3 linked regions of the Arabidopsis thaliana genome follow. The protein of the gene in region 2 interacts with the protein of the main gene of each other region in a pairwise test. Each region holds a gene or a part of one and is shown on either strand. Other genes may lie near its edges. The genes, in order: AT1G35560, BEE2 and AT4G30410.

Evidence for each region.
Region 1: the proteins of BEE2 (region 2) and AT1G35560 interact in binary tests that used the Arabidopsis thaliana proteins (3 or more experiments, as listed by UniProt).
Region 3: the proteins of BEE2 (region 2) and AT4G30410 interact in binary tests that used the Arabidopsis thaliana proteins (3 or more experiments, as listed by UniProt).

Annotation. Positions count from the first base shown.
Region 1 is NC_003070.9:13,115,483-13,119,242, forward strand, and holds AT1G35560 (TCP family transcription factor), read right to left. Parts: upstream 1,754-3,760; 5' UTR 1,643-1,753; coding exon 617-1,642; 3' UTR 344-616; downstream 1-343.
Region 2 is NC_003075.7:17,241,526-17,245,285, reverse strand, and holds the start of BEE2 (BR enhanced expression 2), read right to left. Parts: upstream 1,704-3,760; 5' UTR 1,588-1,703; coding exon 1,297-1,587; intron 1,212-1,296; coding exon 1,032-1,211; intron 940-1,031; coding exon 733-939; intron 649-732; coding exon 508-648; intron 417-507; coding exon 321-416; 3' UTR 1-320. Other genes in the region: AT4G36530 (alpha/beta-Hydrolases superfamily protein), read left to right, coding at 3,516-3,615, 3,697-3,760. UniProt on the Arabidopsis thaliana protein: Positive regulator of brassinosteroid signaling.
Region 3 is NC_003075.7:14,870,642-14,874,401, forward strand, and holds AT4G30410 (sequence-specific DNA binding transcription factor), read right to left. Parts: upstream 1,627-3,760; 5' UTR 1,211-1,626; coding exon 668-1,210; 3' UTR 343-667; downstream 1-342. UniProt on the Arabidopsis thaliana protein: Functions redundandly with IBH1/BHLH158 in a regulation node known as the incoherent feed-forward loop (FFL).

The sequences.
Region 1 (3,760 bases), on a different chromosome or scaffold from region 2:
TTTTTCAAACACATTGGAATTTACTGTGGCATAGGAGTTCTCTCTGACGTGTCCATGTTGCTCCACAAGTGGACAATTTTTTGGTAGATACTACAAAAGTATGATAGACAAAATACGAATTTTAAAAGAGAATTAATATATAAATCTAAAAACCCATTTGTATCCAAACATGTGGTGCTCATGCACCCAATAAAGTTTATCACTACAGTCTACACCATATAATTTTTTATTTATATTCGTTAGCTTTTTACGAACTGCAATCAATTCGAAATATTTGAAATATATGAGCGGTCAAAGAAGGTGTATTCAATTATACCCTTCAACAAAAGAGAAAAGGCATTCTGATAAATATTTAATTTATTCTTTTGTCCATTATGTTACACATAGAGATTCAACTATATTTCCTTTAAGTGACATGCTTTTGCATCGAATAAAAAGAGTTGCAAAACTCGTTAATTATTATGCAACCAAAACAATAAATCCATTTTCTTAAATAACAATTTGGCAATCCCGAAAAGCCAACCCTAAAACCCATATTAACATTGGAGTCCTCAACAAAAGTTGCAATAAATCACACATTCACACTTTTTAAAAACCAAAGAAATCATGAAGTCTTTCAAGGAGAACCATCTATAGTAGGATTTTGGTCTCTAGTAGCATGATCACTCACTTGATGTTGAGGCTTTTGCTCAAGACTCATTCCGAGACCAACCCGACCACCGTCTCCTCCTCCGCCGGAAAATAGCCCCAAATTGTTATTTTCTGCAACACCTAACCCTAACTGTTGACCTCCCACTAACATAGACCCTAGCTGAACCGACCCGATTCGACCCGGGTAATGACCCGGATTAAACGCCCACATGTGCTGTGATGGATCCTGAACGTTAGCCGGACCTCCTCCTCCTCCGACTGGTAACATCCAAAAAGCACTACCTCCGTTTGTGGAGGCTGGCGTTGGCGCTAGTGCCCACATCGGCGGTATCATATTTTGTGTTCTTGACCGGGTCGAACCCGGATCTTGATCAGGAGCTTCGGATCCCGGTTTAGGTGATCTTGAACCGGGTTCTTGATCTAGAAAATTAGGATCTTTAAAAAGATCTTCTTCACGGAATGTTTTGGGAAGAGAAGAAGAAGAAGAATCTGTCGTGATATGATGAGGATGATAAAGCTGTTGCTGGAACCCAAAAACGGCAGCGTTTTGAGCCGCTCTTCCCATGTGGAAAGATTTAGACAGTGGAGCTGAAAGAGTAGAGCCACTGCTTCGAAGAGAGATGTTCAAAGTAGAGATATTCGCCGGTATGGTTCCAGTTCCGGTGGCTGCGATGATAGCTGGCTCCGCTTGTTGGAGCAGCCACTCTATAGTCTCGCCGTCCGATTTGTGTTGTAACTCACGTGTTAGTTGGAAGACACGTGCTGCGCAGATAGCCGGCATACGTATCCTCCGGCCACGTCCGTCTACTTTGATGTGACGGTCCTTGGACGGTCGTTTTGCGGGTGTTTTAGCGGCGGTGACGGTGGTGGTAGTGGAGTTTGGAGCAGTGGTGGTTAATGAGACTGAACCGGAGATTGGTCCCATGGATGGGACCAGATGGGCCGAACCAGTGGTGTTGTTGTTGCTCTGGTTGTTGTTGTGGGACTCCATATTGCTTATAAAATTTATAAATTATGGGGAAAAAAACACACAAGAAAATGGAATAAACAAACAAACAAACTTGTACTGAATTTTTACTTATAACCTATAAATTCTTGGAGTATTTTTTTTTTCTGGTGGGGCTATGAGTTTGTGTTGACTGTTGTTTACTTGTTTGGAGAAAGAGAGAGTGAGAGGAAGAAGATGAAGCAGCTTGTAGAAAAGAGAGAGAGACTTTCACTTTCTTTTTCTTTTGTGTTTTATTTTCATTTGTAGTCCCACTAGGTTTTTGTAGTAGAGAGTAGAGACCAATATTTGCTGTTTCCACACCAAATGATCACTTAACCTTTTTTTGTTTGGTTATTATCACACTTACTATATTGTAGTATAAAAATAATTATGCGCCGAATGTATTGAATTTTGGTCTAACTTTGTGAGACTAAAACTATTTTTAGCAATGGACTATGAAAAGTTTGGAAGTGTTTTACATGATTGAAAAAGGTGTGGATTGTCTAAGATTATAATTTTGGGGCATTTTTGTTGCAATCTTTAGATTGTAGGGATCTATTTGTTGGTTTCCTTATAAAGTTTGGCTTTTAGGTTGGATTTTGCATGGGTGGGAAACGTTGAATGTTCTATGGGGGAAAAGAAAAAAACTAATCACTAATCATAGAGCCAATTTACACCCAATATAATAGTGTTTTAATATTATTTATTTTTTTAATAATTTACTGATAATAACACAAATGTCTCTTTCTTTGATTCTCTATTTTGTCTTTGTTATCCGAATTTGATGAAAGACTTGTTGAGAGATAAGGACCACTGTTTTTATTAACGATGATACTAATAATTGAAGACTATATATAAAGGCTTCAATTCTTTTCCCATCTGCCAAATTAGCACCCACAGACATAGGTTATATATAACTAATCATCTCAACTACAATTTTTCTCAACGAAACCTATACATCTCATTCTAGATGTGAAAACTGTCTAAGAATAGTCCAATTTCAGCCTACTATGTTATATGCACATGTATCAGGGTGTTAACAAAGTATTCGAAATCAAAAAGTTTTAAGGAAAATAATTATGCAAGCGTAGTAAATCAATTAGTTTATTGATATTCACGTTGCTCTTAGTGATTAACCATGTATGTATAATCATATTAGTATTAATGCCTATTAACTGATTTATTGCAATATTTTAATTCATAATTGAATATTTAGACTGTATTATTGTTTCATTTTTTATATCAATTAAATTCCTTTATTAGGTTTTATGTTTTTATCAATCCAAAACCATATAATATATTATATTGCTAGCTATACCATTCGGAATCTTAATTTGGACACGAGCTTGAGCTTTTTGGCTGTTCTTAATGTAAGTTACATGTACGCACCGTGAGCTAAATTATAGATAACAATGAAAGTGAAACCAAACCACTATAAAAAAAACTTTATATTTGAACAGTATATTTTATATAATTTATATATATATATATATATATATATGCAATTATATTTTGAACTGTATATATAATCTCTCTTATTTTTTATTTTCCTGAAAAATAATTGTTGAGACAGATGCACGTGTAAGCATTAGCAGTGAAAGAAAACAGTAAAACAGTCAGAGATAGTTGAAGAAGTACAAGAAGCGAGTGATAAAAAAACGTGATGTTTGGTCTGAAACTCTGGATCCTCCCACGGTCCATTGTCTTGTCTCTGTTCTCTCCAAAAAGTGAAAATGTTCATTTACAAGACCATATAGTATGTAGCCTTGTTCAAGATTCTGTTAGAGCACCTTCATTGGATGGAGACTCATTGAGTATCTAAGAAATAAACTATTAATATTTTTTTATATACATTTATTTTTAAATAAATTATTTTAATTGCTTAAAAAAGTATAAAAGTATCAACCAATTAATGTTTTAAATGTGTAGGCAAGACGTTAAAAATAAAATAAAATGGTGAGAGAGTGAAAGTGTTAATCACTCTTCGACCATATATATCTCTAAAATGGTGCTTTTAAATTGTTTTAGAATCATCTACTGCCTAAAAAGCCCATGCTTTACAGGTTTTAGCTTTGGGTTGGTCTTGTGTGTAGGTATGATCTCATGAGTTCTCATCCAAAA
Region 2 (3,760 bases):
GCCAAAAGGCATCTCCATTAATACAAGTGTAGTTGTAATTTGTGAAGGAAATAATTGTTACGACCACAAGAGTTTGATTCTACAATGTACAAAAAAAGGAATTGCTATGACCACAAGAGTTTTTTCTCTTTCTTCTACACATATACATATCCCCTGGAATATATGTAAATCACTATATTTGTATGAAGATAATAGATTGAGAAAGATCTTTGGATTGGTTTCCTCTGTCTCTTTTGGTTCAAATTTCAGATAAGATAGATAAATGGATAAGACAACAACAAAAAACCGCGATTTTTTTAATGAGGCTATCCCTAATTTTTTTACTTGAGGCTGAAGAAATTGGAAACAGAATCGGTTCTCAAGCTGTTGTAAAGACACTGTGAGTGAGTTTCCCAGCTTGATGATGTATGATCTTTCTGCAAAACAGAATAAGAAATAAGTTACTTCACGGACAAGTAACAAAAAATTGGGACTAATGAAAGATTTGTCTGAGATAAAGATTATTACAGCGCCGAGAGATGTGGTGTGGTCTGAGTTTATGACTGAGTAATCTAAAGATCCTTGCTGATGTAATGGAAAAGACCGAAAATCCGCCATGATTGACTGCTTCGAGTCACCTTCTGGAGGACCTGTGAAGTAAGCCTGAAACTAGATTCCAATATTTAACCAGTCAATAAATGCGGTAATTAAACTCTTGGTTAGTTCTTGGGATGAAAACTGACTATTATTCACCTGTTTTGCGGATAAATCATCGATATGACACTCAAGTTCTGGATTTATGACAGAGAGTTTCATCGACAAGAACTCGACTTGTTGTTGCAGAGATTGGACATAGTTGATGATCTCATCAAGCATACCAGCTTTTCCAGTAACTTTGTTGCATCCAGGAACAATATCTTGTAGACATTTCATCTTCTTGCTTATCTTTTCTCTTCTTGCCTGCCAAAATCCCACAAATATAAAACCACTCAAATCTCTAATGAAAGTAATTTCTCTGAAACCTATTTAACAACAACACTTTAGTTAATTACCCTCTCTGCTAAGCTATGTCTGTCGGTGGCTTCACCTCGTCTAGCCCTAACATGAATGTAATCTGGTTTCTGAATTTCTGAAGATGTCTCTGTGTTACTCATGTTTGATTTCCCTTTCATGCTTGGCTCTGTTTCATCCTCTGCTTTGATCTTCTTCTTCTCTCTCTTTTCTGTCTTACCCTAAAACCAATAGTTAAAACGATCAGAAACAATGTTTCAAACAAAATCTAAACTCTAATACTCAATACTTTCTTGAGCTACAAACCTCTGGTTTTCTCTTGTTCTGCAAGGTAATGGCTCTGCTGTGTCCATTATTCTTCACTGGCTCCATATGGAAGCTACTTGTCCTAGAAATGCAGCCATCAGTAGTATCATAATCCGGTCCGAATTCGGGAAAATGTCTGAAACTCTGCAGCTCATCATTGTTGTTTCCCAAGTAACTCTCAACTCTTTTGAGCTCTTCTCTCCCATCTGAGCCAAGTATCTGAAGAAACTCAGGTGAAACCATTTGTTGCTGTTGCAGCCACTTAAGCCTATCAAGTACAGACAAGTCCATGAAGAGAAGGTAAAAAAAAAACTTTAAAAGGCTCTTATCTTTTCTTTGAGGGGGTTAAAGCAAAAGAGAAAAAGAGAGAGTTAAGTTATATATGTGTGGAAGAAAAGTAATCCATTAGATATAATTATTCTTAGCTTTAAATAGAAAGCAACATTGACCCACACACATGAGATTCGAAATCTAGTGAGAGAGGGACAAAATTGATAAAAGTGGAGGAGGTTGGGGACAAAGAAGGTGAGATGAGAAGTTGTGGGGTCTAATTGACATAACCTACCATGTGGTCATGTCCTTATGAACATGAGATGAGGAGTCTCTTAAGTTAGTCTCTTTTGTGTCTTTTCTCTGTGTTTTTTTTTTTCCTTTTGGCCTTTCAAGTTTTTGAGAGGATCTTTTTGTTTGGCAACAATAATCAAACTTTGTAAAACTTAAGGTTCATGAGGGTATTATCATATAAATATCCTCTTTTGTAAAATCAAATCATTGAGTTTTTGGTAAGACAACCTTCTAATTGTACCAATTTGTTTTGTTAGAGAGAGAGAGAGAGAGGGTCTTTCTTAGGCTTGAAGGTGGAGAATGTGGGGAATGTGAATTATGAATCTTAACTTGCAAATGAATAGAAACAATGGTTTGAATCATGAGTGATATCATTTCAATGTCTTGTTGTGAATCTATACGTGATCCTTGTGACGTATGATTACTACCCTTCATCAATCCATAGATTACACCAATAATTTAAGTGGATTTCATATATTAGAGAGATGGCAACTCGATGAATATATGACATATTATAATATCACATATTATAATTCATAACTGATAGGGACACAAAATAAGCGACCTAAAGAAGAAAATGGGTTTGAAGATAAGTGATAGGAAGGTAGGCGACACCATTGCTTTTGATCTAAGTGTTTGGTCCCTATACTTTCTTTTTTTCCCTATTAATTATATATCTATACATTATCTATAATGCGTGACATAATTCAAGAGAATCAATACTATTTCGATTTTTTTTTTTTGAAGAACTTGAAAAAATATATCCAAAATTAGACCGATTTCAATAACACACCGTACAGGTTGCTTTGAGGTTTCCATTTCATTGGTTCTTTGGGAAACATCAATAACAAGCTGCTTATGAGATGAGAAGAGTAAATGCTTCAAATGCCAAAATACTTAACGTTGAGAGTATCTGTTGTTTTTTGCAATTTCCACAAAAAAGTTTTAGAAAGTTTTTGATTCAATGGGTTTCAGGATGTATTCTTTTGTAAAGAAGTTTGTGTCAATGCATTCATGTTGCAATTAGGCATTTTGTCGAATCACGAAAACGGAAGGAACACTCGTATTCGTCACATCAAAGTATAAGGCCCTAGATCGTGTGTATCACGTCTCTAATTTGCTTACTTACAAAACTGTGTTGTTTGCTCTTTTCACTAATGATGGATCTATGTGATAACAGGAATCACATTCCACGTCAATTATTTCTGTTTACTTCAAAAGAATGTCACACCTATGCAACAGTGAGACAAGATCTGAGGAAGAGAGTTAGAGAACATGAAATTTAAGAAAGAGTGCTTCAATATCTTGTTGTGTACAAATCAATAGTTCTGTTTGATAATATCAACTTGACAGCTTTTGTCAAAATGATGAGTAAAAAATCAGGATCTTTGGGACAAATACGGCTGAACCGGCCGGTTTAGCTAAGTCGAAATTACCGGCCTAATCGTTAAACCATAAAAACCGCAACTTTCAGAAACACTCTGCTTCGTCGAGCGGATTCGACTTGTCTGGCTCAGGGGTCGCCACAACTCTCCCGCAAGTTCACACATACACTCGGTGCTCAAAAAGTTTGTCCTTTTTGCATCTCTCAGTTCTGAAATATCTGGTTCTCTTGTCCTTGAAAATTTTACGAGGTTGTTCTCTGTGAATAATCGATGTCTGCTTCATGTGCTTTAACACCGTCTGTTAGGACAGAGTTATTCAGTTCATCATCATCTAAAAGATCAATCTTTCCTGCTAGAATTTGTCGACCAAGTAAGATTCAACTCCAACCTTTCATTTAGATGTGCCCCTAAGCCTGAATTATGAACAATCTGTTTAATCTTTGCAATGAAGGAAACAAATGTGAAATCAGCAGAAGGGATTTTGCAATTAGGGGAGGGATTGTTGCTTCTGGAGT
Region 3 (3,760 bases), 2.4 Mb from region 2:
ATTGATGAAACATGGAGTATATACGAAAAAGACTGATTTTTACACGTGCTGTCTTATTGGTTGTTTTGTTCTAGTAGACTAGTACTATCCTTTCAAACCAAGTCTTTAACCCAAAAAAAAACATAAGCAAAGAGTCAAATATATATTGGACAACTCATATGAGCTAATTAACATTGAAAATCTGAAAAAAAAAAACAGAAAAAAAACTCACATGAGCTAGTATATATCATTTGTTTTGGGTTGACATGTCAAATGAGCTATCCAATACGAGTGAGTTGTAATAAAACTGAACCAGATATCTATAATATAAAATAACATTTGTCTATTTTTTTCTCTCAAATAAAAACATGCCAAGAAAAGCAATCGAAGCGTTAAAAATATCTTAAAATTCACTCACATTAACTAAATTAAATTCAAAAAAAATAAAAATTTGCCAAGAAATGTTCCAATAAAAACCACCATCACGTAGCAGAAACTTTCTATAAGCATTGTATAAATTTCCTTATGTACAAAATGGCTTACTATAATATCTCTCCATCCTCGTATGACAATTGCATTGTCCGAATAACATACGGTTCTAATGACCAACAACAAGATCCGATCGACATCATGCTTTCGCAACTAATCTCCGCAGATAAAAAAATAAAACAAGATTTTTTTTTATCATTTATCTCTCAATTTCGGCCTCGGCAGCATCAACAATACTTCTCATAACATTTACTTGCGTTTGAAGCGACACAATGTAATCTAACGTTTCTTGAAGCAACAAGACGTCATTGCTCATCAACTCACCACCAGGTACAACGTTTCTTAATCCTTGAGTCCGTCTCTTGACGAGTCTCTTAGCTTTTGCTGCAGCCTCTTCGCTCGCTGATTTCGATTTCCTCCTCAAGATCTTCTTGCTTCGCCTCACGATCTTCCTATGACACACAGTCTTCTTAGGCAACTTCTTGTTGATTAACGTTTCCGCTTTGATGCCGGAAAGCATCTGACGTACGAGGAAATTGTCCTCGGTGGCGGTTTTCTCGATTAGGGCTCGGCTCCAACAAGTTGTTCCTTTTCTTAGAGACGCCATTGCAACGTCTGCAGAGAGCTTTATTGCTTTTTTTCTCTCGTGGACGCTCGTGTTGTCTATCGAAGGACGGAATATTTGAAGACCCATTTGCCATTTCTTTAGGAATTCTTCATTCATTGAGCTCGTAGGCTGCATCCTAAATCCTAATCAAGTAGAAATATACTCAATTATGAGTCATTTTTCAAGAAAAAGTAAGTTAATCCTAAGTAATAAACCATGATGTCTTTATACATCAAAGGGATACATGTATGTAATATACTAATATACATCAAATCATAACCAAACTGGATTTTTTCCCCGTTTAGGGTTCCTTATTATAACCAGAAGAGACATGAACACATACCTTTTTAAGAATTTGTTTACTTCTAGTGTCGTCAAAGATTGCTAAGAACAAATCTGCGGTCACCTCACGAATTCGTGAATTCGACGAGAGAGAGGGAAAGAGACAGAGAGGTAAGGGAGAGAGAAAGGAGAAGGAAAGGGTCCATTTTAATTGTTTCAAAAGGAGAGGGAAAATGGTGGGGGCAATAGGAGATAGGAGAAGCACATGCATGCACATGCTACGAATGGCCCACGTACCCTTTTGTATTACCCTATAATTTAGGAAACTTTTGTCCATTATTATTTGTTTCCGCCGAAAATTTGTGATGATATATATACGTTTTGATGTTTTAAGTTTTGCAATTATGAGGATTTTATGAAAAAAAAAACATTTTTTGTGTATCTTTCGTTTGTTTTCTGTCAACTGCGTAGCTTCATTTGGTTTTTTTTTTCACACTCCGTGAATCCGTGATATATAATGATCTCATCACTCGTATATATATGTATGTAATGTATGTTCACATATTTGATTTAACATGTAATTCTCTATCTGACAACCTTATCAGTCAGCGCTGTCGCCAAGCAAATAAAGGCCTATATAAGCACGCTAAATAATCTAGATTATCTTTGAATTGGTGTCATTACTTAGTTAGAACATATATAATAACTAAAAAAGTCCATCTCAGTTTTGAAATTTAAATGTTAAAGAACGTAAAGTATAGATTAAAAAGTTGTGGTTCTCCAATGTTGTAGATTGAGTCATCAGTCTTCCATAAAAGTTTATAATCTATATATACTTACCGTGACCTGGATCACCTAAATCACCTAAGGTTATAAAAAGATAACAAATGATATAGAATGTATAGCTGAGAATAATGGCTGGTTCTGACGATTGTGAGTGCGTAATTTGTTAATGTAATATGTTCAGTTATTATCGAGCAATATTCAGTTTGATTATTGTCGAACAATGAGTGAATCTATTAATCATATTTACCATTATACGTCAATAATTTACATACAAAAAACAGAATTTGAGAAATTTATGATGCATTGCATTGCACAGTGCACACCTTGGTTATACGGTGCATTATTTCATCTTCTTTTTGATGCTTCACAGTGATACATTCACAACTAGGTATCAAATATGAAAAGCATGGTCAACACATTAACTGTGCCATAACTTTTTTTATACACATACAACAAATAACATCAATATGGTGTTAGTGGTTAAAACGTGGCGATCCGCAAACTTTGGGAAAGCCTGGTTTTGAAAAAGAAAAAAAGAAACAATAATAATTGTTGATAAAAAGGAAAAAGAAACAATAATAATTCATTTATATTGGTCAATTTAATTCAGAAAACGAAAAAATGATATTGATAGATGTACATGAATATAAAAGTTGATGTTCGATAAATATATACAACTATCGAAAGAGAAATATTTTTGATATTAAAATTAGCTTTTTTTCTCCAACAAAATACATCGAACATGGATCTTCTGGTGCGGGGATTTGTTTTCCAATGGACCTCCGTAATTTACGGGAATCTCAACAATCATTCTCCGAACTCTACACGCCCACCATCTCATTGTCGTCACCATCAGTCAAATTTTCTTTGATTAAAATGTTTTGTGCCCTTAATCACATTCTACGACGTCGTTAATGTGGCAACACTCTTGCATGCACGCGTCCACCGAAGCGCATGTGCACACGTGGAGGGACCCTTACCCATTGGTTCTTTTACTTTTACATTTTTTCACTCACCAAAGAGTGATTTTCAACGGTGACTCTCACAGTCTCTCTGATTGACGGCTGTGATATGTTTTAAAATCATTTACTATCATATAAGAAATTCAGATTTACTGACAGGTCGATTGTCCTAACAGTTGATAAACTTCCAAAAATTGAGGATTTATAGTACAATCAAATTGTTTCTAGTGTCTTGAATCAAAGAACACCAAATGGTCTTGATCTACAGAGAGATATCTCGTACTTTTTGAATTTGCAAAAGATATGTGAGATGACATTGCAGAACAATACATTGATGTTACTGTTGAGTGTTGACAGATGTAACTATAATATAAAAATAATGTTTGAGATCATTGGTGGCGTGGCTGATGGTTTCATCACTCATCATGGGGAATAAAACAGACGAGTTCACAAGATGCAATAGTGAGAGTCCATTGATGCAAAACAGAATTATATGTAAAACAAATAGTTTTATCAAAGTGTATATAAAATGTAACATATGATTCATACGAAGAGTACTAATCTAAGTAGAATAGTTATAGGAAATGGTAACTCTAGCTTATCCTCAATATATGTTTCAATTAATCAAGTATAATATTATTTTACCGATCAACTA